3 separate regions of the Mus musculus genome follow, and regions 1 and 2 are each reported to be linked to region 3. Evidence: microRNA targets listed by miRTarBase, many of them from high-throughput screens and not tested one by one. Region 3 holds a microRNA gene; each other region holds the end of a gene's coding sequence.
The links. The annotated mature microRNA mmu-miR-467b-5p reads GUAAGUGCCUGCAUGUAUAUG and lies in region 3 at 6,262-6,282, shown strand. An mRNA with a match to its seed (bases 2 to 7 or 8) in the 3' UTR can be bound and repressed. Matches are read on the target gene's strand: a 7mer-m8 pairs with bases 2 to 8, a 7mer-A1 pairs with bases 2 to 7 and ends in A, and an 8mer does both.

Region 1: miRTarBase lists Runx1t1 as a target of mmu-miR-467b-5p. Seed matches in the 3' UTR shown: 7mer-A1 at 1,290-1,296.
Region 2: the mRNA of Myl6b is a reported target of mmu-miR-467b-5p. Seed matches in the 3' UTR shown: 7mer-m8 at 3,193-3,199.

The regions. Positions count from the first base shown.
Region 1 is chr4:13,889,381-13,899,108 of GRCm38, forward strand. It overlaps Runx1t1 (RUNX1 translocation partner 1), which reads left to right. Exons shown (of 11, transcript NM_009822.3): 11 at 232-5,676. The coding sequence ends at 507. Among named protein-coding and RNA genes, the nearest start is that of Gm11823, 100 kb to the right of the region's middle.
Region 2 is chr10:128,490,993-128,500,646 of GRCm38, forward strand. Myl6b (myosin, light polypeptide 6B) reads right to left here and starts at 7,693. Exons shown (of 7, transcript NM_172259.1): 1 at 7,636-7,693; 2 at 6,209-6,425; 3 at 5,622-5,649; 4 at 5,261-5,404; 5 at 4,062-4,235; 6 at 3,598-3,675; 7 at 3,165-3,491. The coding sequence starts at 6,379. The coding sequence ends at 3,463. It overlaps Myl6 (myosin, light polypeptide 6, alkali, smooth muscle and non-muscle), which reads right to left and starts at 2,894. Exons shown (of 7, transcript NM_001317218.1): 1 at 2,817-2,894; 2 at 2,547-2,574; 3 at 1,610-1,753; 4 at 1,237-1,410; 5 at 1,067-1,144; 6 at 728-772; 7 at 1-41. The coding sequence starts at 2,819. The coding sequence ends at 744. It overlaps A430046D13Rik (Riken cDNA A430046D13 gene), which reads left to right and starts at 8,255. Exons shown (of 2, transcript NR_131151.1): 1 at 8,255-8,534.
Region 3 is chr2:10,497,025-10,507,703 of GRCm38, forward strand. It overlaps Mir467a-10 (microRNA 467a-10), which reads left to right and starts at 6,249; the gene lies at 6,249-6,331. The region is part of intron 10 of Sfmbt2 (Scm-like with four mbt domains 2); the gene reads left to right. It overlaps Mir669a-11 (microRNA 669a-11), which reads left to right and starts at 4,315; the gene lies at 4,315-4,401. Mir466b-3 (microRNA 466b-3) reads left to right here and starts at 6,541; the gene lies at 6,541-6,621. It also overlaps Mir669a-12, Mir467a-9, Mir466b-2, Mir669a-10, Mir467e and Mir466p, and 1 more gene.

The DNA of each region.
Region 1 (9,728 bases), not on the chromosome of region 3:
CGTCTCACACTCCTGTATTGCGGGATGGGGGCGTTGACAGGGAGAAGGGCAGCAGGTTGGAGAGGTAGGGAGAGGGTGGGGCTGTGGTGCGACTGGAAGTTCAGCCAGGGTCTTCTGAATCGTCCATTTTGTCTCTGTAGCTCTTGGAGATGTGGGAGCAGTGATGCCTTCCCTGTTTACTAGATGTTTACCTTCATGAATATTCACCTGGGATCTCTCCTTCTCCTTCAGAGTTGCTGGAACTGTGGCCGGAAAGCAAGTGAGACGTGCAGCGGCTGTAACACGGCCCGATACTGTGGCTCTTTTTGCCAGCATAAAGACTGGGAGAAGCATCACCACATCTGTGGACAGACCCTGCAGGCCCCACAGCAGGGAGACACGCCCGCTGTCAGCTCCTCAGTCACACCCAGCAGTGGGGCTGGGAGCCCAATGGACACACCACCAGCAGCCACTCCGAGGTCTACCACCCCGGGAACCCCCTCTACCATAGAGACGACGCCTCGCTAGACCTAAACTCAGACTGTCAGAGGAAAGACACCACAACCAACACGAAAGCAATTCCTCATCCTCAGATGCTCAAAGTCCCTTTTCTGTTTGTTTGTTTATAGATGAACTATCTATCTTATTTCAGTACTTCGGCAAGAGAGAACCTAACTGTATCTTTGAGGCGATAGTAGAACACAGAGGCCAGTAACGGGTCGTAATGACTTACTGTGGATAACAAAGATATCTTTTCTTTAGAGAACTGAAAAGAGAGGAAAGAATATAACGTGAAATGCTAGATTTGACCTCCTCCCTGTTATTTCCAAGTAGCTGGGATTTTAAACTAGATGACCTCATTAACCAGTGCTTTACCAAACAGCAAACCAAGAGATTGCTAATTGCTGTTGAAAGCAAAAATGCTAATATTAAAAGTCACAGTGTTCTTTATATACAATAATGGAAAAAAAAAAAAGAGGCAATTCCTCAAGGGCATGAGCGGTGGATACAGAAGTAGACATTTTAACAAGAAGATGAATGGCGTCTGTGGGTTGCTAACTGAACTTTGAAGACCCGCTGCAAAACGCGCAGATGTGCAGCAGATTGGAAGGAGACACAGATGGTCCTTTTTTTCCTGTTTCTGAAAAAGAAATAATAATATCCAGGTCAACAGAATGAAAAATGAAAGATGATTTCCAGTGCGGTGTATGACTACAGCAGCAAGAAAAAAAAATGCCATAATACAAAGGCTCCTTTTTATATATATAGTCACACACACACACACACACACACACACACACACACACACACACTTAAGAGACTCAGCCTGCAGTTAATTAGCATTCTGGCAGCTTCCAAGTCAGCCAGCTGCCCTAAATAACCCTTCAACATTTCTTCACTTTTGCAAGGTTCCACAGACTAAGACATTGGGTCTATTCCAGCTCATTCATTTTATATTGAAAACTAATTTAAAAAAAAATGGTGGCTTCAGCTCCAGCCCCTTTCCAAAATTTTTCAACCCCACCCTGTTTGGATTTTTAATTAAAATCTAGTAGTTCTCTTGGTATTAAAACACTTCTGTCCTGTGAGGTTTTCCCAATGGTGTTTTTCTTGTAAATGTGTTGGACAAATGTGAAGATGCGTTGTAGTTTACCCATATGCCCACATTTAGTCTCTTTATTCCTAGTTGGTGAGAAACCTGTATCTTTCTATGCTGCTTTTATATCTGTATGTATTAGTGATATTTCTCTAGTAGTTAAAAAAAAAAAAAAAGAAAAAAAAAACTTTTTTGGTTGTCCTCAAGAAAAGAAAAGAAGAAAAGAAAAGAAAAGAAAAAGCTATCTTTTGGAGCTGCTAACTCACTCTCTTATAGGATTTTTTTTCCTGGAAACCAGCATGCTTCATGGAATGCTAGCACATGGATGTTTTAAGAGGGATGTACATAAATGTATTTTGCACTGTCACAATGACTCCCTAGGCATGCTTTCTTTTTTTCAAACCAACTTTTTAAATATGCTAGAGCCATTTCACCAATTTTAGCTGTAGCATAGAGTAGTAGTGGAATTTTTCTTTCTTTTATCCTTTTTTTATGAAAAGAAATTATTAGGGACTTTTTTAAAAAAAATAAAATAAGATATCCTACTTTAAAAAAAAAAAGGACAGTGCATGCATATTGCTGTAAGGTTGTTTAAGTATTTCTAATTTTACAAAAAAAAAATGAAAAAAATCATTAGAGCTCCAAATGCTGAGGTGTAGACGAACAGCTTTAACCCTGCTGAGTGCCAGGTAATACAGTGTTCTTACAAAAGGGAAATCAGCCAAAGACTGATCTGAGGGACCAAAATCGGAACTTTGAAAAGCACCAGTGGTACTTTCCAAATGATCAGCAGGTTGAACATGTTCAGTGTGAATCCATTAACCCTTCGTTGTCCAGGGTCCAGACCAGAACTACTGGTTAGTTTTGAAACACATTAGCCCAGGATGTGGTTGTGTGCTTTAAGAGTCGGCAGTGCTGCAGGCTGTGTAGACAACCAAAGTTGACAAGGCTGGGAAGACACTTCTCCACATACCCATACACCAGGCATTTCTTTACAAATTGAGTACAATCCATTAGCTTGCGGGAGGGGGAGGGGAGCGGGTAATGTAGCCCTTGGATACAGTTTTAAGTGGTTGTATTTAAGTTATCTGCATAGAGGCAATCCTCCTGGGTTTGCTTTATGTCTCGAAAATCTAAGATTTTTCTTAAACCATTTCCCCCATATTTTCATATACCAGTCGGTTTTGATTTTGTTCCGGTGGTGTTGTGTTCTTTCTTTCTTTTTTTTTTTTTTTTTTTTTTCTTTTTTCTTTTCAATGGCCTTTTAATTTAGGAAGTTCTGATGAGCAAATAAATGCATCTATATCTATCTGCATGTTGGAAGTCCATCTGCCAGCACACCTGCTAAAGGCAACGAGAAGCACATAAGCAGGCTCTGAATGGGTTCTATCTTACCATGGTGCTCCCAGAATCCTTTGACCTCATTCTGCTTTCTAGTCTGCTTGTGACACTGGACAGTCCTTTCTTAGAGCTATTCTATGTTCTAGGCTACGAAGGGTTAAATAATCCCAAAAATGAGGTATGTCATACCCTCACGTCTCGATCTCAAGAAGCTGTGATGTACGTGGAACAGCACTGTTATTCTGAACACTAGTGTGTAAAGTAAGGATTAGTACAGTCCGTCTCATTACTTTTTAATTCAGGGCACCCTGAGTGAAAACCAATACAAAAAAAAAAAAAATCCCTAACTCTGAGCTCTATCTCTAATTCCTCTTCCTCCTTCCCCTCTTCCTCCTCCTCTTCCTCTCCTCCTGTTTTGCTACATTCTCCTCAGTGGCAAAAAGTTTCACTCTACCTCTGACAGCATGTATATTGCACCAGTAGCTAACAAAAACTGGTCTAGTCAAACCAAATGGGCACAAAAGAACCAGGATACCAAAAGTCATACAGCTGCAAACCATATCACTTCTTGGTAACAATGCAGACCTCATAAACCTAAAAAAGAGAAAGAAAAGAAAACTTTTGTTACTTTCCTTTTTTGCTTGTCACTTATATACAGGCTATGTGAGAGTATTGATTTGTAGGTATTACACATTAAAAAAAAAGTTATCTTCATTGGATAGAATTGAATGGTGGTCGCTGATAGGAATAGGGCGTCCTCTATCTCTTATCTCTGTCTCTTTTCTCTTTCTCTTTCTCTGTCATGAGACTGTGTGTGACAGGGCCACCTGTCTTTTTTATTTTTATTTTTCTGAACTTTTTTTTTTTTAATGTGTAGGTGCATGTCTTGGGGATTTAAAAATTTCAAGGCTGGTTTACTTATGCAAAGCATGCCTATGTCTGGAATACTTAGGGAAAGAAAGCGACTCCATGTTGTCCGAATTCCTCAAGGGACAGAAAAAAAAAAATTGGAGACTGTTGAAATGCAGATTTGAAGTAATTTTATTTTAATTATTTTGGGTTCTGCGACATTATTGTGAAAAATTAAAGTTGTTGTGCAATACTTAATTCAGACACGTGCCACAAGTTAACGGTAGACTAACACTGGGGGGCGGGGGCTAGGCATCACGCTTTTGTCTGCATACTCTTGAGCTTTTAAGTCTACTATGTCCGAACTGTGGTTTCTTGTTTATCCTTTTTTTTTTTTTTCCTTAGTTGGACTGTAATGTATGGTCTGTCAACCTGTGAATCTTTAAAGTATGATTCAGGTATTGTTGTACTCTTTACTGTGTAATAAAAATGCTTAAAAAAAAGTCTGTATTCTGTCTCCCTTATCTTTACTGTGTGCCAAGGCTACCACTCAGGGACCTTAGCCTTGAAGGGCAGTTCTTCATGGAGCATGCCCGGAGTCTAGTCAACTCCAGAGTATGTCTCTAACATGTGTTAGTTCATCCCTGAGTGATGAGGGAGAATGATAGAGCACAGAGGACATTCCTGAGGTCATTGTAGTCAAATGTAGAAGGACTCTCAAAGTCCTCCATAAGAAAGGAGAGCATAGTCTAGGGGTCTCCTTCTCTAGAAAGGTCCATTTACCATCTTCTAAAGCTCTGACATGCAGAAGGTTGCTCCCATGCATAGCTGCAGGATGTACACACTAAGACACTCCATCCGTCTTGGATCCTCACTGCCTTTAATCAGATGTTGCCAGCATGTTCACACTTGGTTTTGTACACTTGTAATACACAGTATGGTGTGTCCAACTTGTTTCTAAGACCCATGTCCATCTAACACACATAAGTATATATTTTTTCATGCACTAGCTATAAAGTAGCTTAGAATTTGGAGAACCTATTGGTCTACCCTAGGAACACAGTCAATTTTCGAGTACTTTACACAACATATTTTTTTTAAAGGAATGTATACACTACATTCTGGTAAAACTTCTTGTTTGCTTGAAAGATTCCCACTATGGCCTAAAAACTAGTTTAAAGGGATAAAGGGAAATGCAAGGCCTGAATCTGAAGAGACAGAGACATCAGAGATGCTGATGAGTGGGAGGGTAATCTTCAGCTTCCTTTGTATGCTAACTAGGCCCCTATACCTGTCCTGAGACCTGGCTTCTTCAAGGATATTGAGAAATGCAGCCTATTTTACAGAGTGAGGAAAGGAGGGAGGGAGAGAGAGAGACAGAGATAGAGACAGAGAGAGTTTAAAAGCCTAGATAGTGCATATCTTATCCCTACAAAATAAACAGGCTGAATATTTAATTAAGTAGTTAATTTTTTTCCCCACTCAAAAGCCTGCCCAGCCTTTCCTTATTTGTACAGATACATTTTCTTTTTCTTTTCAAAATGGAACAGACCAGAAACCAGAAGACATGGAGGCTAGAACGGAGTCGCCTTGAAGTAGCCCCTTTATAAGCTGTCCTTGAAAAACAGCTCTGTGACATATTTGTATGACTGGATATGCTGGACAAATGCGTAATGAGTTTAGTTAAGATGAAGAATGTGAGCAAAATCAGCAGCTTCTGGGTGGTGAGCACCATTTTTTAAAAGAATGTTATTGATGTATTTGATAATATAAAAATGATGTTTGCCATGAAAGAACACTAAGTTATTTCCCCAAAATGGAAGGGGAAGAAATGATCAAAGAGGTGCTTTTCTGTATGGGTGTTTATATCTTTATTCCAAGGTGAATGAATAAAGTTGTACTTGCCTAAACTGGTCCCTGGTCAATCTCTTCTCAGCATTACTAAAAAAAATGAATCAGACAAAAACCAGGAAATAAATTTTCCACAAACACAGAAGGGGATATAGGGCCGGAGTTGTTTTTCCTTTGCTTCTGGGACTTTCTGATTTAAATAAACATTTGCCTAAAAGACTTCCAAATAAATATGTGAGAAATCAATGGGGGGTTTATTAAGGCCACGATGCTTGACTTACTGTAATAAATGTACGAGTTGAATGGGAAGTTAGACTTCAAGTGGGTATGTGAACGAGTACCCACTTTTAGTTCCCAATGCTAACAGTACAGGGTTGGGGTTCTACATGTCACTGTCTAGGAGTGAGCTTTCTCAATGTATGTCACAAACAAGCTCAATTTCTGTGTCACCAAAAACTCAAAAGATGAGAGACAAGTTATCCTATAGGAATATGAGACAGTGGAAGTATATGGAGCTGTCCAAAGAGTACCTGCATAAATCAAGAGCAACTGGAGCCCCTTTCAGTCCCCAGTACAAGGTCAGGCACCCAATTAACACTCAATAAATATTAATTGTAAATACAACTGTGAATCTGCAGCTGGAAAATGTGCTGCCAGTTTCTCAGAAATAACCCAGTTGGTTATAGAAACAAAAAACATGAGGGCCATGATTTAATCACCTGAGAAGGAGAACGCATGAAGATGAGTAAAGCCATGTGCAGCTCCTACCTTGACAAAGCAGAGGCATGGCCATTGTTTACAAATACCACAGTTGATAAACACCAAAGCAGGCAAGTCTTTACCACATAACAGTACCTGGTTATTGGTGACAAACACATATTTAATTAATTGTCATGGTTCTCTGTTAATTTATTATAATTTATGTGTTAATTGATTTACATAAGGCTTAGTTACTAAGACATTAGAAATACTTTAAGATTCATGTACTTAACAGTCCAGAGTAAGAACAGTGGCCATCTCATGGCCTCTATCTGCCACAAAGGGCTTTTTAGCTTTTTAGCTTCACATCTTTGCCTGTGGGGCTGCTGGGTGTAGGGGAAAGAGAGAAGGAGAGAACCCGTGTCCTGCCAGAGTTCCTGTGCTCTGGGCAGGTAGATGCAGGAAGACTGCTGGTCGCTTCCCACTTGGCCCCAGGTGGGCATCTGGCTGTGTGAAGCCACTGACCCCACTCAGCAGTGGGGGGACAAGGGGCAGCCCCTCCCCCATACCAGAGGCCCCAGGGCGACACCCTCAGTGCTGGAGATACAGGAAAGAGGGCAGAGGGAGAGAGGTTCCCATGCAAGTGAGAGTCCTTAGTCCAGTCTGTGGCTGGAGCACAGGAAGGCCTTCTGACGGGAGATTAGGCACAGCTCATTAGGAGAAAGCCTATCCCATCATCCAAGCACAGCGGGCCTTGATGAGCAGAGACAGTCTATGGTTTAGAACTTAAGGCAGGGGGAAAGAGAAAAGGTAGAACGAGAGAGAGACCCACCATGGCCATATGGAGGGAAGAGGGAAGGGGGAGAGAGGAAGAGAGTTAGAGGGAGAGTAAGGAAAGTAAAAGCTTAAGAGAGTAAGAGAGTGAGGAGGGGCCAAGCAGTCTCTCTTATGGTGGGCTTGTTATCTTGTTGTGGCTAGGTAACTGGGAGTCGGCTAGCCTTAAGGCCAGAAGCTTGGGACATTGTCTATGTGACTAAAAGCCACACTTCTCCTGTGGGGGCGGTAACTATGACAGGAGCGAGGGGTCCAGGAGACCTTCTGTCCCATGTAGGTGGGAATTAACACCACTGGGTTTCTCCAGGGTTCACACCTAGCCTCTACTGGAAACCAGGCTGTCTGTGCATAGCCCATTGCCCCACATTTGCCCTGCTGTATTCCCTCTGAATCCATGAATTCTCTCAAAGTGTCCCATCTCCTCTCCTATATCCATTCTAGAAAAAATATTAAATCCTTTAATATTTTCCTTTACCTCAATATTTCCTCTATCAGACCCCATGCTTGCCCTTGAAGGTTCTTGTAGGAACCATCTTGAAAGAGAGAGAAAGGAATACCTCAGCAGATAAACATTATATGTTGAGGACCGAGGTGGAAGCATGCATGCACACATGTTACTACTGTGACAGTGTTTTATATATTGTGGTCCAGAAACACTGGAGCATATACTTTCTTCAAAGTATAGCTGCTCTCAGTTTTGTGGCGATGATAATTTCCCTTGGGACTTCTGGCTTTCCAACCTACTCTGGAGTTTTCCTGTGCTTCAGATGGTTTCCAAGAGCGCCACTATTTCCCCTGGATGCTCTGATCTGGGGGAAAAGACCTTCTTCCCTTGAAAGCTAACAACAAAAGGACTGTGATTATAGTTCGGAGCTTTTCTAACACAGAGAAAGCCCTGGATTTAATCCCAAGAATAATAGAAAATCCAAATAAGACCTAACTAAACAGCAGTGACTCTATATAGTATGTCCCTAAAGATTATGTATGCATATTTTTATTTTTATTTTATTTTATTTTTTTTAAGATTTATTTATTGATTATTTGTAAGTACACTGTAGCTGTCTTCAGACACTCCAGAAGAGGGAATCAGATCTCGTTACGGATGGTTGTGAGCCACCATGTGGTTGCTGGGATTTGAACTCTGGACCTTCGGAAGAGCAGTCGGGTGCTCTTGCCCACTGAGCCATCTCACCAGCCCCCGAAAGTAGAAGCAAGTTGTGGTTTGAATAAGTTTGATCCCATAAACTCACGTGTTTGAATGCTTGGCCTATAGAAAGTGGCACTATTAGGAGGTGTGGCCTTGTTAGAAAAAGTGTGTCACTGTAGGTGGGATTTGAGGTCCCCTATGCTCAACCTATGCTCAGTGTAGCACAGTCTCTCCTTGTTGCCTACAGATCAAGATGTAGATCTCTAGGTTTCACCTCCTGCAGCATGTAGGCCTCTACACTGCCAAGCTTCCTGTCATGGTGATAATGGACTAAACCTCTGAAAATGTAAGGCAGCCCCAATTAAATGTTGTCCTTTGTGAGAGGTGCTGTGGTCTTGGTGTCTCTTCACAGCAATAAAACCCTAACTAAGACAGAAATATTTTCAGTTTTCTTCATAAATAAGAAATGTTTAGGATAGATGTGCTTAGCTTTGTATGAAAGTTATGCAATGTATACGTGTGTCAAATTCCACATTTCATATTAATTATACATCAACAGGTACAATTTTATGTTTTATGCTTCAAAAAGAATAAATTTAATTAAAAATTAATAAAAACTAACAGAAACAATTGGATTTTAAGAGTCTTCTAACAACAGAATTACTCCAGGATTAGAGAAGAGTTTGCTACTCCTGAGTACCTTCTCAGAGCAGCTCTACCTCATTGCTTTAAGATTATCTGGCGGGTGGGGGGAGGGTATAGGGGACTTTAGGGATAGCATTTGAAATGTAAATGAAGAAAATATCTAATAAAAAAATGAAAAAAGAAAAGGATTATCTGGCTGTTGAGAGAAGTAAATCAGACTCTCCTGATAGAAGTTTGTAAATTAGACCAGTCTCTATATTACTGGGGTTTCTGTTCTGGAGTTAGAGAAAGAAAAAAATTGTTATCTAGCAGTTTTCTTCAAGATTAAACCTTTCCACCTTGGAGGGAAGCTCACCAAGACACAGGGCTTCATTAAGGAGGCAAATCAGCTTTAGTCTGCAGTGGTGTGATAGGATATAGGAGGTTATTTGAATTTTGTTGTGTCTGTTGATGTTTGCTTTATGGACTGAGTATGTGGTCCATTTTGGAGAAGGTTCCATGAGGTGATGAGAAGAAGGTATATTCTTTAGTGTTTGGGTGAAATGTTCTGTAGATATGTTTCACCCATTTGAGGCACAGCATCTGTTACGTCCATTATTTCTCAGTCTACTTTTTGTATGAAGGTACTGACCATTGATGATAGTGAGGTGTTGAAGTCTCCCACTATTAATATGTTGGGTCTGATGTGTGATTGAAGCTTTAGTATTGTTTCTTTTACAAATAGGAGTGTCCTTGTATTTGGGGCCTAGATGTTTAGAATTGAGACATCATCTTGATGGATTTTTC
Region 2 (9,654 bases), not on the chromosome of region 3:
TACAGAATGTCCTCAGCCATTCAGCACCATCCGGACAAGCTCTGTGGAGAAGAGAGGCGGAGTCAGCCGAGGAGAGGGCTGGGGAGGGGTACCCATGGGCCAGGAGACCACGAGACCATGAAGGTGGCAGGAGGGAACATGCCCATAGCAACCAACCTTGGGTCAGTTTTCAAAAGAGCCACTCAGAGTGGCCAGTTCTCTCTGTCCCTGGTTCCCCTCCCACTGGCTGTTAGCCCCCACCCCCAATCTAAATAGCAAGAACATAGCAGAGGCAGAAAAGTTCTCAGCTACACCTACAGTTATGGTCAGCCACTGGCAGGAGGAGAGGTCAGCTTTGGGTTAGGGTACCTCCACGCTGTCCAGTAGAGGGATGGAAAAAGGACTTTTGTTTTAGCAGCAGAATGGGGCAGTTAGCTCAACCCTGCCCCCGCCAACTCTAGAATCACCATCAGACCAGCCTTCCCTACAAGCTGGTGAGCGTTCCCAGACACCAGCACCAAGACCCCTGTAAGTCAAATCTCAGAGACCATTCTAGGAGAGGAGGTACCACACCCCCAAACTGCATTCCTCATTGAGGAATTTCTCCCCTCCCAAGCCAGCTCCATGCAGAGTCATGCCAGGAGTAAGGCAGATGGTAGTAGGGTATGGCCAGAGGCTAGAGCACAGGTTGGGAAGGAAAAAAAAACACTAGGGAGATAACTAGAGGAGAGGCTGGGAGGAGCCGTACCCGCCCCATGGGCCCGTCACCCCGACAGGATATGCCTCACAAATGCTGCAGGAAGGAAGAGACATTAATGGTGAAGACAAGACACAGACATGGGGTGAAGGGGTCAGGCAGTGGAACAGACATTCTGTTTACGTCCCATTCCTAGCCCACCCTCCGTCCTCCATCACCCCCCCCTTTACTGCTGTCTCCCCAACAGTTCCCTCCCAGGCTGGACTGAGCCTTGCTTGCCCCTTTGACTCCCGACTCCCTTCTGGAACCAAGTCTAGGAATACAATGCCTCTTTAACATCTCCTGAACGACCATTTCCTCACAGGCCCCAGTTTATGGTCTGCCCCTCACCTTCATAGTTGATGCAACCATTGCTGTCCTCATGCCCCGCCACTAGCATCTCTACTTCTTCCTCTGTCATCTTCTCGCCTGCAGAGGAAGGAACATTCTTAGAACTGAGTGACTGACGGGTGAAATATATCAGGTGGCAGCTCAGCTCCAGAAAGGTCACAGACCCTTACCCAGTGTGACTAGGACATGACGGATTTCAGCACCCATGACGGTGCCATTTCCTTCCTTGTCAAACACACGAAGGCCTTCAACATAATCCTCGTAGGTTCCCTGGTCCTTGTTCTTGGCCACGGTCTGCAGCATGGGCAGGAAGTGCTCAAAGTCCAGCACCTTCACATTCATCTCTGTCATGTGGGAGGTGGAGGTGTCAGACAAGAGAAGTCACACATGTTCTCAGGACATGACGGTAGGGAACACAAGGACGGCCAGAAGAGGGAATCAGAACTGGATGAGACAAAACTTGCTCAAGTTTGGCACCTATGCAGATAAAGGGATGACTTTAGCTGAACAACCATGAACCCACTACATTCTTGAAATGCTCACCATCACTCTTGGGGTTCCCTAGGACCTTGAGCACCTCGGCGTTGGTAGGGTTCTGGCCCAGGGCCCGCATCACATCCCCACACTGGCTGTACAGGATCTTGCCATCACCTGTTCGGTCAAACAGCTGGAAAGCCTCCTTGAATTCTGAGGATTCAGAAGAACGGCAGCACCAGGGATTAGCCCCGTGCTTGCTGCACAGCTCTGCTGCCAATTCAACTTAAGTCATGCTGCAGAAACCAGATATCTTGTCCTCCTCTATACACAAGACTACTCCTAGGGATCTATTTCTATCAACTCAAATGCCCCACATAAAGACAGGCAACCTTCTTTCCCTTACCTTAAGGTGGTAGCCATCTGTTTACACACCCCCTGAGCTGCGGCAGGCTAGGCTCTCCACCACTACTATACAACTCCGCAGGAATCTGCCACCGCCCAGGCTAGGTCCTGCCCATATAAGGAAGTAAGAGCCTGGACTCTAGCCTCCCACTCCCACCCTTCCCCTCCGGGAGACCTTCCAAGAGGTGAAGCCACATCCTTAGCAAACTCTCCAGTGCCCATCTTAACAAAATATCAAGGCACTGCCCTCTACAGTACTCAGAATCCAAGCTTAAGGAGGGGACAGTTATCAGAGGAGAGGCAAAAAAAGAAGCAGCAAACCACAAGCGTAATAGACCCGACACATAACAGGCACTAGTCAAATTGTTTCACACACCCACACCACCTAAAACTCACCCAGCGCTTGGGGCTCAGATCTGGAGTGGAAGGGGAAGGAAGAAAGAATGAGAAAAGAAAATGGAGGATCTAGAGCAGAAGGAAATCCACGGGGCACTCTCCTGGGAGCGCTGGAGGTGACAGGTTGGGATCAGAAGATAGATGCTAAAGGAAGGGGGTCCCTCTCGGTAAGGATGACCTGAGCTGCGGGTCAGAGACTGCCTACCTGCGGTCTGGTCCTCGGTGAAGTCACACTGCTCGGAGAAGAAGGGATTGGTCAGTTACCTGAGGTCCAACCCCGCAAGCTTCTATCCCGGCTTTACAAACTCCTGTTTGAAGCCGAGGATTCGCTTCCCAGGGCAAAGCCCTAGACATTCCAATCCCACAGCCAACCTTCCAAAACCTGGGCGTGCCCACGTCCACTGCTTTCTCTACTCCCACCCGCGGTCCTCTCCTTGCCCCAAATCCCCCTGATCTCCCGATTCCCAGGGCCCACCATCTTGGCTGCTGAGCTCTGCTGGACCTTTTCCGGCAGTAATGGCTCCGACGCCCTACCCAACCCCAGCCTTAGTACGTCCCATGGCGCATGACGTCACCCTCCGCCGTTTCATCCAATAGGCACGCTAGTCTGGGCTCATGCAGATGACATCACTACATTATTAATGAGGTGGGGGGGGGGCGCCCTACCTCGGCTCAGGAATCTAGCAGGGGGGCCTGGGTTGGGACTCTCGGAAACCTTTCTTCCGAGCTGCACCAAGAGCAGAGGATTTGGGCTTTTGCAGAAGAGAGGACTACCCGCTCCCGTCCTTCCTCTTTCTCAAAAGAAAACTGTCGGAAACCGAAGCAGGAACCATGTTTTTATTTCAAAACTGTAAGTGCCCCCTAGTGGCAGGAACGCGCTTCTGGCCGCACAGGAGGTGGGGCAAGTTTCCGTCGCTGCAGGTTCTACGTGGGGTGGGAGTCGGGGCTGGGGTGGGGTGGGGGTGGGAGGGGGTGGGGGGTGGGGAAGGAAATAGTCCAGCCCTGGCGGCTGCGCTACGGACGGGCGCGGAGACGCACTGCCTGCGCTTCTATCTGGTGGATCGAGGACCCTTGCCTCTCAAGCGGATACCAGGGGCTGGCTGGAGGGCCACCTGCGGAGCTCAGAGGCTTAGGATATGCTTCAGGAAGGCTGCACGAAAGGAGACGAGAGGACTTGAGAAACTGACCTTCGGGTAACTGAGGGTACTCCCACCCCCCTCAAGTCTCCTTACTCCCTGGCCATCCTGCCCCCTCACCCTCATAGTTGATGCAGCCGTTGCTGTCCTCGTGGCCTGCCAGAACAGTCTCTACCTCTTCCTCAGTCATCTTCTCTCCTGAACCCAAAAACAGTTAGAGTCCCCCGCCTTCCCTGCCTCACCAGCCCAAGACATTCTCAGGGTGGTTCATCCTCCCACCCTTGCCCTTTTTCATATCAACGGTGCCTTGGAGCAGGTGAAAGCTTTGACTTGACAGCGAAACAAGCTGCCGGGGTTGAGACTTGCATGGAATCAACACAATTGTGGCTTGCAAAGGGGGACATTGCATTCCCTGCCCTTGGCTCATAGCTGGACACTTTAGCCTCTAGGTGATCTGTCTCCACAATGCTGGCCCTCTTGAGTCTCCTGCCCATAACTGCAGGACCATAAACCCATTCTAGGCTCTACTTAGCTCTTCCAGGACCCCCCACTTCTCCACCCCACAGCTCTGGGCCCTGCCTCACCGAGAGTGGTAAGAACATGTCTGAGCTCTGCACCCATGACCTTGCCGTTGCCCTCTTTGTCAAACACACGAAGCCCCTCTAGGTAGTCCTCATATGTGCCTTGGTCCCGGTTCTTGGCCACTGCCTGCAGCATGGGCAGGAACGTCTCAAAGTCTACACGTCGGGACTTCAGCTCTGGCAATTAGATAGAGATGAGAGAGATCAACTGAGGTGTGGGATCCAGTGCAATTAGATAGAGATGAGAGAGATCAACTGAGGTGTGGGATCCAGTGCCATCCAACCCTACTATTGTGACTTTCATCCCTTTCAGCATTCAGGATGTTTCTCTTCCCTGTGTTTGACGTTTTTTGAGTCCTGAGGTCCATCCTAGCGTCCTCTGTCACCTTACCAATATTCTGTCATTGAAAATTGAAACTGTTGCCAGGCCTGGTGGTGCAGTTTTGTAACTACAGCTACCAGGCAAGTTCAAAGCCAGCCAGAACAACTTAAGACTGTCTCAACAGAAAGGAAAAAAAAAAAAAAAGGAAAGGCAGGGATGTAGCCCAGTGGCTGGACACACTCAAAACAGAAAGAGAGAACCACTAAGCCCACACACCTTCAGTCCCAGCATTCAGAGGCAGGGGAAGTCCCTCTTGAGTCTGAGGCCAACCTGGTCTATACAATGAGTTCCAGGCTAAGCAGGGCTATATAGAGACACCCTATGTAGTAGTAATAGTAGTAGTAGTGGTGGTAGTAACAACACTATCTAAACAACAATAATAATAATTAAAATTTAAAAAGAAAAAGAAAACTGGGGATTGGGGCTGCTGGGATAGAACTGTAGGTCCCTGGCCAACCTGAGTAATTTGGTGAGCACCTGTCTCAAAAAGTAAAAAAAAACAGTACCTCTGTAATAAGGGCTTGCCTGGCTTGCCTGAGGCCCTGGATTCAACCCAGCACTACATAAACTGGAGTAATCCCACCACTCTAGTGGGCAGTAGCAAGAGGTGGAGATAGGAGAATCAGAATGTAAGGTCATTCTTGGCTGGGATACTGAAATCCTATCTTGAAAGAAAGAGAGAGAGAGAGAGAAGAAAAAGAGGAAGAAGAGAAAGTTGCTGGCTAGAAATGTAGCTCAATGGCCCAGGCAGAACCCTGTATTCAACGTTCAACACCAAGAAGAAAACAGAAACCCCCACAAAACTCAAGGCTCCTCTCACCCTCGTTTTTGGGGTTCCCCAGGACCTTGAGCACCTCGGCGTTGGTAGGGTTCTGGCCCAGGGCCCTCATCAGGTCCCCACACTGGCTGTACAGGATCTTGCCATCACCTACTCGGTCAAACAGCTCAAAGGCCTCTCTGAATTCTGAGATGTAAGGAGAAGGCAGTGTGACCAAGGATCCCCATCACCAACAGAGAGAGGGAGGTTTGCTTCAGAAATTCATGTGCTAGAGCCAGGCATGGGAGGGAGGAGAACAGGACAAGTGTGGGAGGTTTCAAGGTCAGGACTGTCGTTAGAACAGAGAATCTGACCAGGAGTTTGGGGTTTGACAATGGGGCTTAGGAAATGGGCTTCTCCTCACCCTCCAGCTGGTCCTTGTTAAACTCGATCTGTAGGGGACAAAAAGGGCAGGTGAGGAGATGACAGGGCTTATTCAGTCCCTCTCTATCACAACCAACTGGCAGCCACTTCTGGGGAGGGACCCAAAGGGATGAAGGCGGGGAGCCGGGCCACTTCAGTCCTGTCCCCAGCTCTGGGCCTTGGGAGAATCCCAAGAGGAATTACAGGGGGAGGGTTTCTTGGGAACAGGGTTAATCCCATGCCACCTGTTCCCTTCCCTCCTGCTACCCCGAGTCCTGCATCCCTCACATAACTGGGGGCTGAACAAAGGCTAAATTTACCCCTGCCCCCAGCTGTGATTGTCTAACAAGCCTGCCCTCTTCAGTCTCCCCTCCTGGGGTTCAGAGATGTAGCCTTCTGAGTTGAACAGAAGAGCCAGAGGCAGACAGCACCCCTCTCCCTTCACTTCGGAAACTGGCCTGACCTGGGAGCCCCAACCTCATTCCAGCGTTCATTCATTCCCTATCCTTTCCACATATTCCCGGATACCCAAGGCTGCACCGCATCTCTGAACTATCCCTTCCAGATTCACACTTCCCCAGGACTCACCACCACTTTGGAGAGATCAACAGGGGGCTCCTGGGATTTTGCAGGTGCCTGGGGGGCAGCCGGCTCAGCCTTGGCCTTGGCTAGAGGGGTCCCTGGTGTAGACTTGGCAGCAGGCTTAGAGATGGAGGGCCCTGCTGGTTTCTTCACGGGAGCATCCTTCTTGGGAGGCATGATGTCAGGTGGCCAAAGAACAATGTGCTGATGGGGGCACCCATCTCTGTTTAAATAGGCAGGGAGTCTGGGATGTCAAGGGGCGGGGGCAGCAGCAGGGACAGGGAGCCAGTTGGCAAGGGTGAGGGGGAAGAGACTTATGCCTGTCTGCCCTCACTCCCCTGGCCTCCTATGGTTCAGGACTCCTGCCCCCAAAGTTTTCTTCCCTCTGATACCACTCTCCTACAGCTGAATAGAATGTTTTCTTTAAGGGTACAGAGAAGAAACACGAGACCTGTCAGAATAGGGATTGTTAACCTCCAGGGTGAAGATAGGATGTTTGCCAGTGATTCTGAGATAGGAGCTAAGGGGAGAAAGAAGAAAACTAAAGTAGAAAAACAAACAAAAACTTGCATTAGTTTTAGACCGTGGGAAAGCCCAAGCAAAGCAAGGGCTTGGGGTGGAGTCGGGGTAGAGGGGTGGGGGGCTGGTATCAGGTGGGAAGTTTTAAAATCTGTTCTGGAAACAGTAAAAGGTGAGAGGAGGCCTTTGCACTCCCTTCTGTCTTTTCCCGTATCCTTAGAACTTGTAATCCCTGGGCCCCCACCTACCCCCAACCTTAAACTATGCACAGTAACTCGAGCGTGTTATTACCCACTGACTTCTATACCTAATGTTGGTTTAGGGGTTCCAGTGTAGGCAAGGCTTAACATCTGTCACACATAATTCCAAAGAAGGAACATTTTTCAACAAGACAATGTTATTCAAATCAAACAAAAGGCTATAATGCCTAGTGAGCATGGAGGGAACACACACACACACACACACATGGAGGGGGCCCTGGGAGACAAAGAGCCCCCTAATAACCCAAAAGGTTACAGGACCTCCAAAGGAGTTCATAGGTATCCACACGGACACACCATTGGTCAGGATCACATCAAAAACCTTAGCTGAGCTTTGAGTCACAAACCTTGCTGGAAGCGCTGATGAAGGGAAAAGATGATGTTTGGGAGCTAGGAGGTTCTGGCTACTCTGTTCTTGGATAAAGAAGAATTACATGGCATTCTGAGAGACTGGTCATTCCACTTAGGCCCTGGAGTTCGCAGAGTAGCAGTGGGTCTCCCATTTGCAAAAGGGCGTCAGAATCTTTTTACTGCAAATTGTCCCATTTTTGGAAAATAAAGAATCCTTCCTAAACAAAACGCCCGTTTCCCTCACTTTCACTCACTCCTAAGCCCTAGAGAGGAAAAAGACCCTCCCAGCCCCTCAAAACTCACCTTGCCGGGTCCGAGGAAGGGGCAGGTGGGGGGCGGGACTCAGGGCAGCTCCTGTCCCTGAAGGGTTAAGTGCGGCTGCCGCAGAGCATGCTGGGAGTCGTAGTCCGCGAGCACCCGCAGGCTCACAGGAAACCTTTTCCCAGCCGTGAGAGTTGGTGGTGACTTCCGGCCCCTGGTGACAGTTGGTGACTCAGGTCCTGAGGCGTGCGCCGGTTCCGGAATTGAAAGGGCCTGAGCTGTCCCCACCCATGACCCTGCGGCTGCAGACCCACAGACGCCCGCAAGGCTAGGGGCGGGGCCGGCCCGGGCGGTGGGAGGGGCCGGGCGGTGGGCGGGGCGGCAGCGGGGGCTTCCTCAGGCTGTTAGCTGCGGAATGGTGTAACTTGGCAGAGTTTTGCGTTTTATTTATTTATTTATTTATTTATTTATTTATTTATTTATTTATTTCACATTTGATAGTGGTCGAAAGACTGACTGAAGTAGATGTTAAGATTTACAATTTAGCCTGGCCATCTGCTTCCACTCTCCTCCTTGTGGAGGCGTCTGCTGAGGCCGCCAATGCACCGCGGTCTCCCCCCCCCGAGATACCCAACAAATGCAACGCTGGGCTCTGCAGTCCTTCTTTACCTTTCCGACACCATTGCCCAGCCTGAGTATTTGCACTTTCTCCCTGGAGTTTAGCAAATGTCTGAGTGCAGAGAGGGAACCGGCCCACCGTCCCGAAACAGACGAATAAATAACTCTGGCGGCGCGCCTCATACTAGAGCTTGTGCAAGCAAGTGGACCAGAAATAGCTCAGGGTAGAAGACTCCCAGCGGCGCCATAGGAAGAATGAGGCACAAGCCAATTTTGTACCCTGAAACGGACATTCCCCGGCTGGAAAAAGCTTGAGTAAAAAGGTCTGTACGGGTGCAAGGGATGTAGCACAGTTGGTTGCACAAAGCTCTGGGTCCCAGCACTCAGGAGGTGGAGACAGGAAGAATCAGATGTCTTTGGGACGTAGGGACTTCGGGCCAGCCTGAGCTACATAAGATCCAGTTTCAGAGCAGAAAGGGAAGGGACGCCTGAGAGCTTGTCTTAAACTAGAAAGCAAGAACAAGAAAGCAGTCTTGGTGATAACACAAATGTAATCCCAAGTCGGGGGGTGAGGGGGGGGGGGGGACAAACGAGCCTGGGCTATACAGTGAGACTCAAAACAACAGTGAATAAGGGCTGAAGTTAGAGCTGGCTGGCAGAACAATTGTCTACAACCGTTCAGGTTCTGGGTTCAGTCTCCATCACCATTAAAAAGGATTCCCACCCCCCCTGGTTTGTTTGTTTGTTTGTTTGTTTTGTTTTTTGTTTTTTTGGTTTTTTGAGACAGGGTTTCTCTGTATAGCCATGGCTGTCCTGGAACTCACTTTGTAGACCAGGCTGGCCTCGAACTCAGAAATCCACCTGCCTCTGCCTCCCGAGTGCTGGGATTAAAGGTATGTGCCACCATGCCTGGCTGTGTTTTATCTTAATAGATATGTGGTCCGGTGTGACTTTTTTGTTTACGTTTTTCAATGGCCTCAGTCTGCTGCTGCACTGGCTAGCCTGCCCTGCCTCCCTGTTACTCTGTGTTCTAAGGTTCTTGGGGTCTAACCCAGAGCTTTCTGCATGCCAGGCAAGCGCTCTACCCTCGTAGCCCTGAAAGGAAAGAAGTGGTGATAATCACACAGCAGTGTATCACTTCAGAAACTTGAATAATTGTGGGTTCACCCTATACAACTAGATTTTGTGTTTGTTTTATTTTTATTTTGAGACAAGGTTTCTCTGCATAGGCTTGGCTGTTGACTTTTGTCTTTTTTATCTATTTTATTGAGAGTTCTTATACTATTCTCTCCCTTCTAACCCTCCCCCCCGCCCCAATACAACATGAGGTAGGAGAGAAAGGCTACAGAGGAAAGAGGACGAAGACCTCCACAGGCTTCTTCCTTGGTTAGGTTGTGGTGTTCCCAGGGGCAAGTCAGCATCCCAGCAACAGCAAGGGGAGCA
Region 3 (10,679 bases):
ACTTAGAGATATGCCTGGGATTCATGTGATGCCCCCTATGTATCCCTATCTGTATCTGTTTATATTTTGTGTGGATTTGAGTATATGTATGTTCCTATCTACACAAATATATACATGTACACAGACACAAACAGAAACACACACACAAACATCAGTGCAACTCATCGATCCATTTGAATGACGTGTGACTTAGAGTTTTAAGATTCCTCATTACTGAATGGGGAGAGGTCTCACTCAGCAGGTGAAGTCCCTTGACAGAGTCAGGTGGATCAGGAGTTCAAATTTGTGCTGAATTTCATGATGAGTTCATGATCAGCATGGGATTCATCTTATGCCCACCAAAAATGTGCATGTGTGTATAGTTGTCTGCATATTCACTTCTCTATATGAATATGCATATACACACATGCACACACATTCATAGGAATGGCCAGAGCTATGTCTCAGGAGGTGAGTACTCTTGCCAGTGTCAGGAGGATGAGGAGTTCAAATTCATGTTTAACTTCATGATGAGTTAGAGTTCAGCATGCGATTCATGTGATGCCCACCAAGAATGTGCATGTGTGTATAGTTGTGTACATAATCACTTCTGTATATGAATATGCATATACTCACACGCAAACATACTCCCATGAATGGCCCGAGCTATTAATCAGTTAGGAGGTGAATACTCTTGCCAGCATCATGAGGATGAGTAGTTCAAATTCATGTTTAACTTTATGATGAGTTAGAGATCAGCCGGGAATTCATGTGATTTTCCCTGTGTTTGTGTTTATGTGTATAGGGAAGTATGCCTGTACATGCGCGTATATGAACATGCATATGTATATATACACACAACTAGGGACACATATATGTGCACACAAACACACATGGCAGTCATCCATTTGATTTATACGTGCTTAGAGTTTCATTGAGTGTATATTCATGGTATAGTGAATAATCTCACTTATCAGATGAAAACCACTTGCCAGAGTTAGGAGTCTCAGGAGTTCAAATTCATGCTTAACTTCATAATGAGTTAGAGATCACCCTGTTTTTGTGTGATGGACCCTAGGTATGCACAAGTGCATATAATTGTGTGTGCACGTACATGTGTGTATATGATCATACTTATAAATACACACACATACAAATGTATTCACACACACAGGCATGCACACTCACACACATAAGAATGACACTCTTTGATCCATTTGAATGATATATGTCTTAGAATTTTGCTGATTATAAAGTAGAAGGACAGTGAAGGTCTCACTCACCAGGTGTAAACAATTGTCAGTGTCAGGAGGATCAGGAGTTCAATTTCATGCTTAACTTCATGAGCAGTTAGAGATCATCCTGGACTAATGTGATGGCCCCTATGTATGTGCCTGTGTGCGTAAGTGCCTGCATGTATATGCGTGTATATTTTATGCATATACATACACACACCTACACACACATGCACACAGACATGCGGGAATGGCCCTCACGGATCCATTTGAATGAAATGTGACCTACTGCTTTGGAGGTTATGTATGACTGGGCCAGGGTGAGGTCTCACAAACCACGGGAAAACCCTTGGTAGAGTCGGGAAGATCAGGAGTGCAAGTTCATGGTAAAGGCATGATGAGTTAGAGGTCATCCTGGCATTCATGTGATTGCCCCTATGTATGTGTGTATGTGTTGATGTGTGTGTACATGTACATGTCTGAATATGATATACATATACATACACGCACACATAAGACACATATGAGCACACAGACACATGGGAATGGCACTCATCAATCCATTTGAGTGATAAGTGACTTAGAGTGAAAATGCTTGCTAGAGTTAAGAGTATCAGGAGTTCAAATTCATACTTATCCTCATGAGAGATCAGCCTGTGATTCCTCCATGTATGTGCATGTGTGTATAGTTGTGTGTGCATGTTCATGTCTATATTTGAATATACATAACATACACACACACGTATAAACGCAAGCACACATACACAGACACAGGAATGGCATTCGCCAATCCCTTTGAATGATAAGTGATGTAGAGTTTTAGAGATTATGCAATAGGGGACATTGAATGGCCTCACTCACCAGGTGTAAAAGATTGACAAAGTCAGGAGGATAAAGATTTCAAATTCATGCTTAATTCAGTTAGAGATCATCCTGGTATTCATGTGATGCCACCCATGTATGTGCATGTGTGTTTACTTGTATGTGCATTGCATGTGTTGACATGATATACATAACATAAACACACGTGTATATGCAAGCACACACACACAGGAAAAAATTGCATTCATTTATACGTTGAATGATATGTGACTTAAAGTTTTAAATATTATGCAGTAGTGGGTCAGTGAATGGTTTTACTCACCTGGTATGAAAGATTGTGGATCAGGAGTTCTAATTCATGCTTTACTTCATGATGACTTAGAGATATGCCTGGGATTCATGTGATGCCCCCTATGTATATCTATCTGTATCTGTTTCTATTGTGTGTGGATTTGAGTATATGGATGTACCTATCTACACAAATATATACATGTACACAGACACAAACAAAACACACACACAAACATCAGTGCAACTCATCGATCCATTTGAATGACGTGTGACTTAGAGTTTTAACATTCCTCAGTACTGAATGGGGACAGGTCTCACTCAGCAGGTGAAGTCCCTTCACAGAGTCAGGTGGATCAGGAGTTCAAATTTGTGCTGAATTTCATGATGAGTTCATGACCAGCATGGGATTCATCTTATGCCCACCAAAAATGTACATGTGTGTATAGTTGTGTGCATATTCACTTCTCTATATGAATATGCATATACACGCATGCACACACATTCATAGGAATGGCCAGAGCTATGTCTCAGTTAGGAGGTGAGTACTCTTGCCAGAGTCAGGAGGATGAGTAGTTCAAATTCATGATTAACTTCATGATGAGTTAGAGTTCAATATGCCATTCATGTGATGCCCACCAAGAATGTGCATGTGTTTATTCTTGTGTACATATTCACTTTTGTATATGAATATGCATATACTCACATGCAAACATACTCTCACTAACGGCCAGATCTTTGTCTCAGTTAGGAGGTGAATACTCTTGCCAGCATCATGAGGATGAGCAGTTCAAATTCATTTAAACTTTATGATGAGTTAGAGATCAGTCCAGAATTCATGTGATTTTCCCTGTGTATGTGTGTATGTGTATAGGGAAGTGTGCCTGTACATGTGTGTATATGAACATGCATACACACACACACACACACACACACACACACCGAGGGACACATACATGTGCACACAAACACACATGTCAGTCAGCCATTTGATTTATACGTGCTTAGAGTTTCATTGAGTGTATATTCATGGTATATGGAAACATCCAACTTATCACATGAAAACCGCTTACCAGAGTTAGGAGTCTTCTCGTGTCAAATTCATGCTTAACTTCATGTAGAGTTAGAGATCACCCTGGATTTGCGTCATGGACCCTAGGTGTGTACATGTGCATATAATTGTGTGTGCACGTACATGTGTGTATATGATCATCCCTATAAATACACACACATACAAATGTATTCACACACACACAGGCATGCACACTCACACACATAAGAATGACACTCATTGATCCATTTGAATGATATATGTCTTAGAATTTTGCTGATTATAAAGTAGAGGGACAGTGAATATTCTCTCTCACCAGGTGTAAACAATTGGCAGTGTCAGGAAGATCAGGAGTTCAATTTCATGCTTAACTTCATGAGCAGTTAGAGATCATCCTGGACTAATGTGATGGCCCCTATGTATGTGCCTGTGTGCGTAAGTGCCTGCATGTATATGCGTGTATATTTTATGCATATACATACACACACCTACACACACATGCACACAGACATGCGGGAATGGCCCTCACGGATCCATTTGAATGAAATGTGACCTACTGCTTTGGAGGTTATGTATGACTGGGCCAGGGTGAGGTCTCACAAACCACGGGAAAACCCTTGGTAGAGTCGGGAAGATCAGGAGTGCAAGTTCATGGTAAAGGCATGATGAGTTAGAGTCATCCTGGCATTCATGTGATTGCCCCTATGTATGTGTGTATGTGTTGATGTGTGTGTACATGTACATGTGTGAATATGATATACATATACATACACGCACACATAAGACACATATGAGCACACAGACACATGGGAATGGCACTCATCAATCCATTTGAGTGATAAGTGACTTAGAGTGAAAATGCTTGCTAGAGTTAAGAGTATCAGGAGTTCAAATTCATACTTATCCTCATGAGAGATCAGCCTGTGATTCCACCATGTATGTGCATGTGTGTATAGTTGTGTGTGCATGTTCATGTCTATATTTGAATATACATAACATACACACACACGTATAAACGCAAGCACACATACACAGACACAGGAATGGCATTCGCCAATCCCTTTGAATGATAAGTGATGTAGAGTTTTAGCGATTATGCCATAGGGGACATTGAATGTCCTCACTCACCAGGTGTAAAAGATTGACAAAGTCAGGAGGATAAAGATTGCAAATTCATGCTTAACTTCATTTGGAGACATCTTGGTATTAATGTTATGCAACCCATGTATATGTATGTGTGCTTACTTGTATGTTCATTGTATGTGTTGACATGATATACATAACATAAACACACATGTATATGCAAGCACACACACAGGAAAAAAATTGCATTCATTTATACATTTGAATGATATGTGACTTAAAGTTTTAAATATTATGCAGTAGTGGGACAGTGAATGGTTTTACTCACCAGGTGTGAAAGATTGTGGATCAGGAGTTCTAATTCATGCTTTACTTCATGATGACTTAGAGATATGCCTGGGATTCATGTGATGTCCCCTATGTATCTCTATTCTATCTGTTTTTATTGTGTGTGGATTTGAGTATATGGATGTACCTATCTACACAAATAAGTACATGTACAGAGACACAAACAGAAACACACACACAAACATCAGTGCAACTCATCGATCCATTTGAATGACGTGTGACTTAGAGTTTTAAGATTCCTCAGTACTGAATGGGGAGAGGTCTCACTCAGCAGGTGAAGTCCCTTGACAGAGTCAGGTGGATAAGGAGTTCAAATTCGTGCTGAATTTCATGATGAGTTCATGATCAGCATGGGATTCATCTTATGCCCACCAAAAATGTGCATGTGTGTATAGTTGTGTGCATATTCACTTCTCTATATGAATATGCATATACACGCATGCAAACACATTCATAGGAATGGCCAGAGCTATGTCTCAGTTAGGCGGTGAGTATGCTTGCCAGAGCTAGGAGGATGAGGAGTTCAAATTCATGTTTAACTTCTTGATGTGTTAGTGTTCAGCATGCGATTCATGTGATGCCCACGAAGAATGTGCATGTGTGTATAGTTGTGTACATATTCACTTCTCTACATGAATATGCATATACTCACATGCAAACATACTCACACTAATGGCCAGATCTTTGACTCAGTTAGGAGGTGAATACTCTTGCCAGCATCATGAGGATGAGTAGTTCAAATTCATGTTCATCTTTATGGTGAGTTAGAGATCAGTCCAGAATTCATGTGATTTTTCCCTGTGTATGTGTTTATGTGTAAAAGGAAGTGTGCCTGTACATGCGCGTATATGAGCATGCATATATATATATATATATATATATATATATATATATATATATACACACCCACACAACTAGGGACACATACATGTGCACACATACACACATGGCAGTCATCCATTTGATTTATACGTGCTTATAATTTCATTGAGTGTATATTCATGGTATAGGGAATAATCTCACTTATCAGATGAAAACCACTTGCCAGAGTTAGGAGTCTCAGGAGTTCAAATTCATGCTTAACTTCATAATGAGTTAGAGATCACCCTGTATTTGTGTGATGGATCCTAGGTATGCACAAGTGCATATAATTGTGTGTGCACGTACATGTGTGTATATGATCATACATATAAATACACACACATACAAATGTATTCACACACACAGGCGTGCACACTCACACACATAAGAATGACACTCATTGATCCATTTGAATGATATATGTCTTAGAATTTTGCTGATTATAAAGTAGAGGGACAGTGAAGGTCTCACTCACCAGGTGTAAATAATTGGCAGTGTCAGGAGGATCAGGAGTTCAATTTCATGCTTAACTTCATGAGCAGTTAGAGATCATCCTGGAATAATGTGATGGCCCCTATGTATGTGCCCGTGTGCGTAAGTGCCTGCATGTATATGCGTGTATATTTTATGCATATACATACACACACCTACACACACATGCACACAGACATGCGGAAATGGCCTTCACGGATCCATTTGAATGATATGTGACCTACTGCTTTGGAGGTTATGTATGACTGGGCCAGGGTGAGGTCTCACAAACCACGGGAAAACCCTTGGTAGAGTCGGGAAGATCAGGAGTGCAAGTTCATAGTAAAGGCATGATGAGTTAGAGGTCATCCTGGCATTCATGTGATTGCCCCTGTGTATGTGTATATGTGTTGATGTGTGTGTACATGTACATGTGTGAATATGATATACAAATACATACACGCACACATAAGACACATATGAGCACACAGACACATGGGAATGGCACTCATCAATCCATTTGAGTGATAAGTGACTTAGAGTGAAAATGCTTGCTAGAGTTAAGAGTATCAGGAGTTCAAATTCATACTTATCCTCATGAGAGATCAGCCTGTGATTCCTCCATGTATGTGCATGTGTGTATAGTTGTGTGTGCATGTTCATGTCTATATTTGAATATACATAACATACACACACACGTATAAACGCAAGCACACATACACAGATACAGGAATGGCATTCGCCAATCCCTTTGAATGATAAGTGATGTAGAGTTTTAGCGATTATGCAATAGGGGACATTGAATGTCCTCACTCACCAGGTGTAAAAGATTGACAAAGTCAGGAGGATAAAGATTGCAAATTCATGCTTAATTCAGTTAGAGATCATCCTGGTATTCATGTGATGCCTCCCATGAATGTGCATGTGTGTTTACTTGTATGTGCATTATCTCTGTTGACATGCTATATATAACATAAACACACGTGTATATGCAAGCACACACACACACAGGAAAAAATTGCATTCATTTATACGTTTGAATGATGTGTGACTTAAAGTTTTCAAGATTATGCAGTAGTGGGACAGTGAATGGTTTTACTCACCAGGTGTGAAAGATTGTGGATCAGGAGTTCTAATTCATGCTTTACTTCATGATGACTTAGAGATATGCCTGGGATTCATGTGATGCCCCCTATGTATCTCTATCTGTATCTGTTTCTATTGTGTGTGGATTTGAGTATATGGATGTACCTATCTACACAAATATATACATGTACACAGACACAAACAGAAACACACACACAAACATCAGTGCAACTCATCGATCCATTTGAATGATATGTGATTTAGAGTTTTAAGATTCCTCAGTACTGAATGGGGAGAGGTCTCACTCAGCAGGTGAAATCCCTTGACAGTGTCAGTTGGATCAGGAGTTCAAATTCGTGCTGAATTTCATGATGAGTTCATGATTAGCATGGGATTCATCTTATGCCCACCAAAAATGTGCAAGTGTGTATAGTTGTGTGCATATTCACTTCTGTATATGAATATGCATATACACGCATGCACACACATTCATAGGAATGGCCAGAGCTATGTCTCAGTTAGGAGGTGAGCACTCTTGCCAGAGTCAGGAGGATGACGAGTTCAAATTCATGTTTAACTCACATTGAGTTAGAGATCAGCATGCGATTCGTGTGATGTCCTCCAAATATGTGCATGTGAGTATAGTTGTGTGCATATTCACTTTTATACATGAATATGCATATATACTCATGCACATACACGAATGTCACTCATATATTTTTTTGAATGTTATGTGACTCAGAGATTTAGAGCTTATGCAGTACTGGTCCAGAGCTATGCCTCAGTTAGGAGGTGAATACTCTTGCCAGAGTCAGGAGGATATGAAGTTCAAATTAATGTTTAACTTCATGATGAGTTATAGATAAGGCTGTAATTTATGTTTTTGCCTCTGTGTACGTGTATATGTCTATAGGTAAGTGTGCTTGTACATGTGGGTATATGTATATGCATATATATACACATATATGGACACATACATGTGTACACAAATACACATGGCAATCATCCATTTGATTTATATGTGCTTAGAGTTTTATAGAGTGCATATTCATGGGACAGGAAACATCTCATTAATCAGATGCAAACCATTTGCCAGAGTCAGGAGGATCTGGAGTTCAAATTCATGTTTAACTTCATGATGAGTTAGAAATCGTACTGGATTTATGTGATGGACCCTAGGTATGTGCATGTGTGTGTAACTTTGTGTGAATGTACATGTATGCATATAATTATACATATACATACACATGCATGCACACATACAGACTTGAATACTCACACACATAAGTATGACTCTCATTGATCAATTTGAATGATATATGTCATTGAATTTTATTGATTATGAAGTAGAAGGACACTGAATGGTCTCACTCAACAGGTGTAAAAAATTGACAGTGTCAAGAGGATCAGGTGTTTAATTTCATGCTTAACTTCATGAAAGAGTGGTGCAATGTGATGGTCCCTATGTATGTGCCTGTGTGCATAAGTGTGAGCATGTATATGTGTGTATATTTTATGCATATACATACACACACCTATATACACATGCACACAGACATGCGGGAATGGCCCTCACGGATCCATTTGAATGATATGTGACCTACTGCTTTGGAGGTTATGTATGACTGGGCCAGAGTGAGGTCTCACAAACCACGGGAAAACCCTTGGTAGAGTCGGGAAGATCAGGAGTGCAAGTTCATGGTAAAGGCATGATGAGTTAGAGGTCATCCTGGCATTCATGTGATTGCCCCTATGTATGTGTATATGTGTTTATGTGTGTGTACATGTACATGTGTGAATATGATGATATATACATACACGCACACATAAGACACATATGAGCACACAGACACACAGGAATGGCACTCACTCATCGATCTATGTGACTGTGAGCTTTGGAGATTATGTATGACTAGATCAGGGAGAGTTATCACCCATCATATTAAAAATGCTTGTTTAAATCAGGAGGTCAGGAGGTCAAATTCATGCTTTATTTCATGATGACTTAGAGATCTGCCTGGGAATCATGTGATGCCCCCATGTATGTGTATATGTGTGTAACTGTGTGTGGATTTGTGTACATGAATATACATACCTACACACACGTAGACCCATACACAGACACACATATGAATGCCACTCCTCAGTCCATTTGAATGATATGTGACTTAGAGTTTTAAGATTCCTCAGTACTGAATAGGGAGAGGTCTCACTCAGCAGGTGAAATCCCTTGCCAGAGTCAGGTGGATCAGGAGTTCAAATTTGTGCTGAATTTCATGATGAGTTGGAAATCAGCACGGGATTCATGTGATGCCCACCAAGAATGTGCATGTGTGTATAGTTGTGTGCATATTCATTTCTCTATATGAATATGCATATGCACACATGCACACACATTCATAGGAATGGCCAGAGTTATTTCTTAGGTAGGAGGTGAATAATCTTGCTAGAGTCAGGAGAATATGGTGTTCAAGTTTATGTTTAACTTCATGATGCATTAGAGATCAGCATGTGTTTCATTGATGCACACCAAAATGTGCATGTGTGTGTAGTTGTGTGCATATTCACTTCTCTATGTGAATATGCATATACACACATGCAGACACAGGAATGGCACTCATATATCCTTTGGAATGGTATGTGACTCAGAGCTTTAGAGCTTATGCAGTGCTGGGCCAGAGCTATGTCTCAGTTAGGAGGTGGATGCTCTTGCCAGCGTCAGGAGGTCCCAGAGTTCAAATTCATGTTTAACTTCCTGATGAGTTACAGATCAGCCTGTTATTCATGTGATTGTTTCTGTGTATGTGTATAGATAAGTTTGTCTGTACATGCGGATATATGAAAAGACATATATTGACACATATTCACACATGCATGCATACAGAAACACATGGCAGTCATCCATAAGTTTTATATGTGCTTAGAATTTCATAGAGTGTATATTTATGGTACAGTGAAATATCTCGCCAACTAGATGAAAACCGCTTGCCAGAATCAGAAGTCTTGGAGTTCAGAATCATGCTTAACTTAATGATCAGTTAGTGATCATCCTGGATTCGTGTGATGGACCCTAGGTATGTACATGCACACATAATTTTGTGTGCATGTACATGTGTGTATATGATTATACATAACACACACACACACACACACACGTATAAAAGCAAGCACACACACACCAAGGTATGGCATTCATCGATCCATTTGAATGATATATGTCTTAGAATGTTACTGATTATGCAGTAGAAGGACAGTGAATGGTCTCACTCACAAGGTGTAAACAATTGGCATTGTCAGGAGGATCAGGAGTTCAATTTCATGCTTAACTTCATGAGCAGTTAGAGATCATCCTGGAATAATGTGATGGCCCCTATGTATGTGCCTGTGTGCATAAGTGCGCGCATGTATATGCGTGTATATTTTATGCATATACATACACACACCTACACACACAT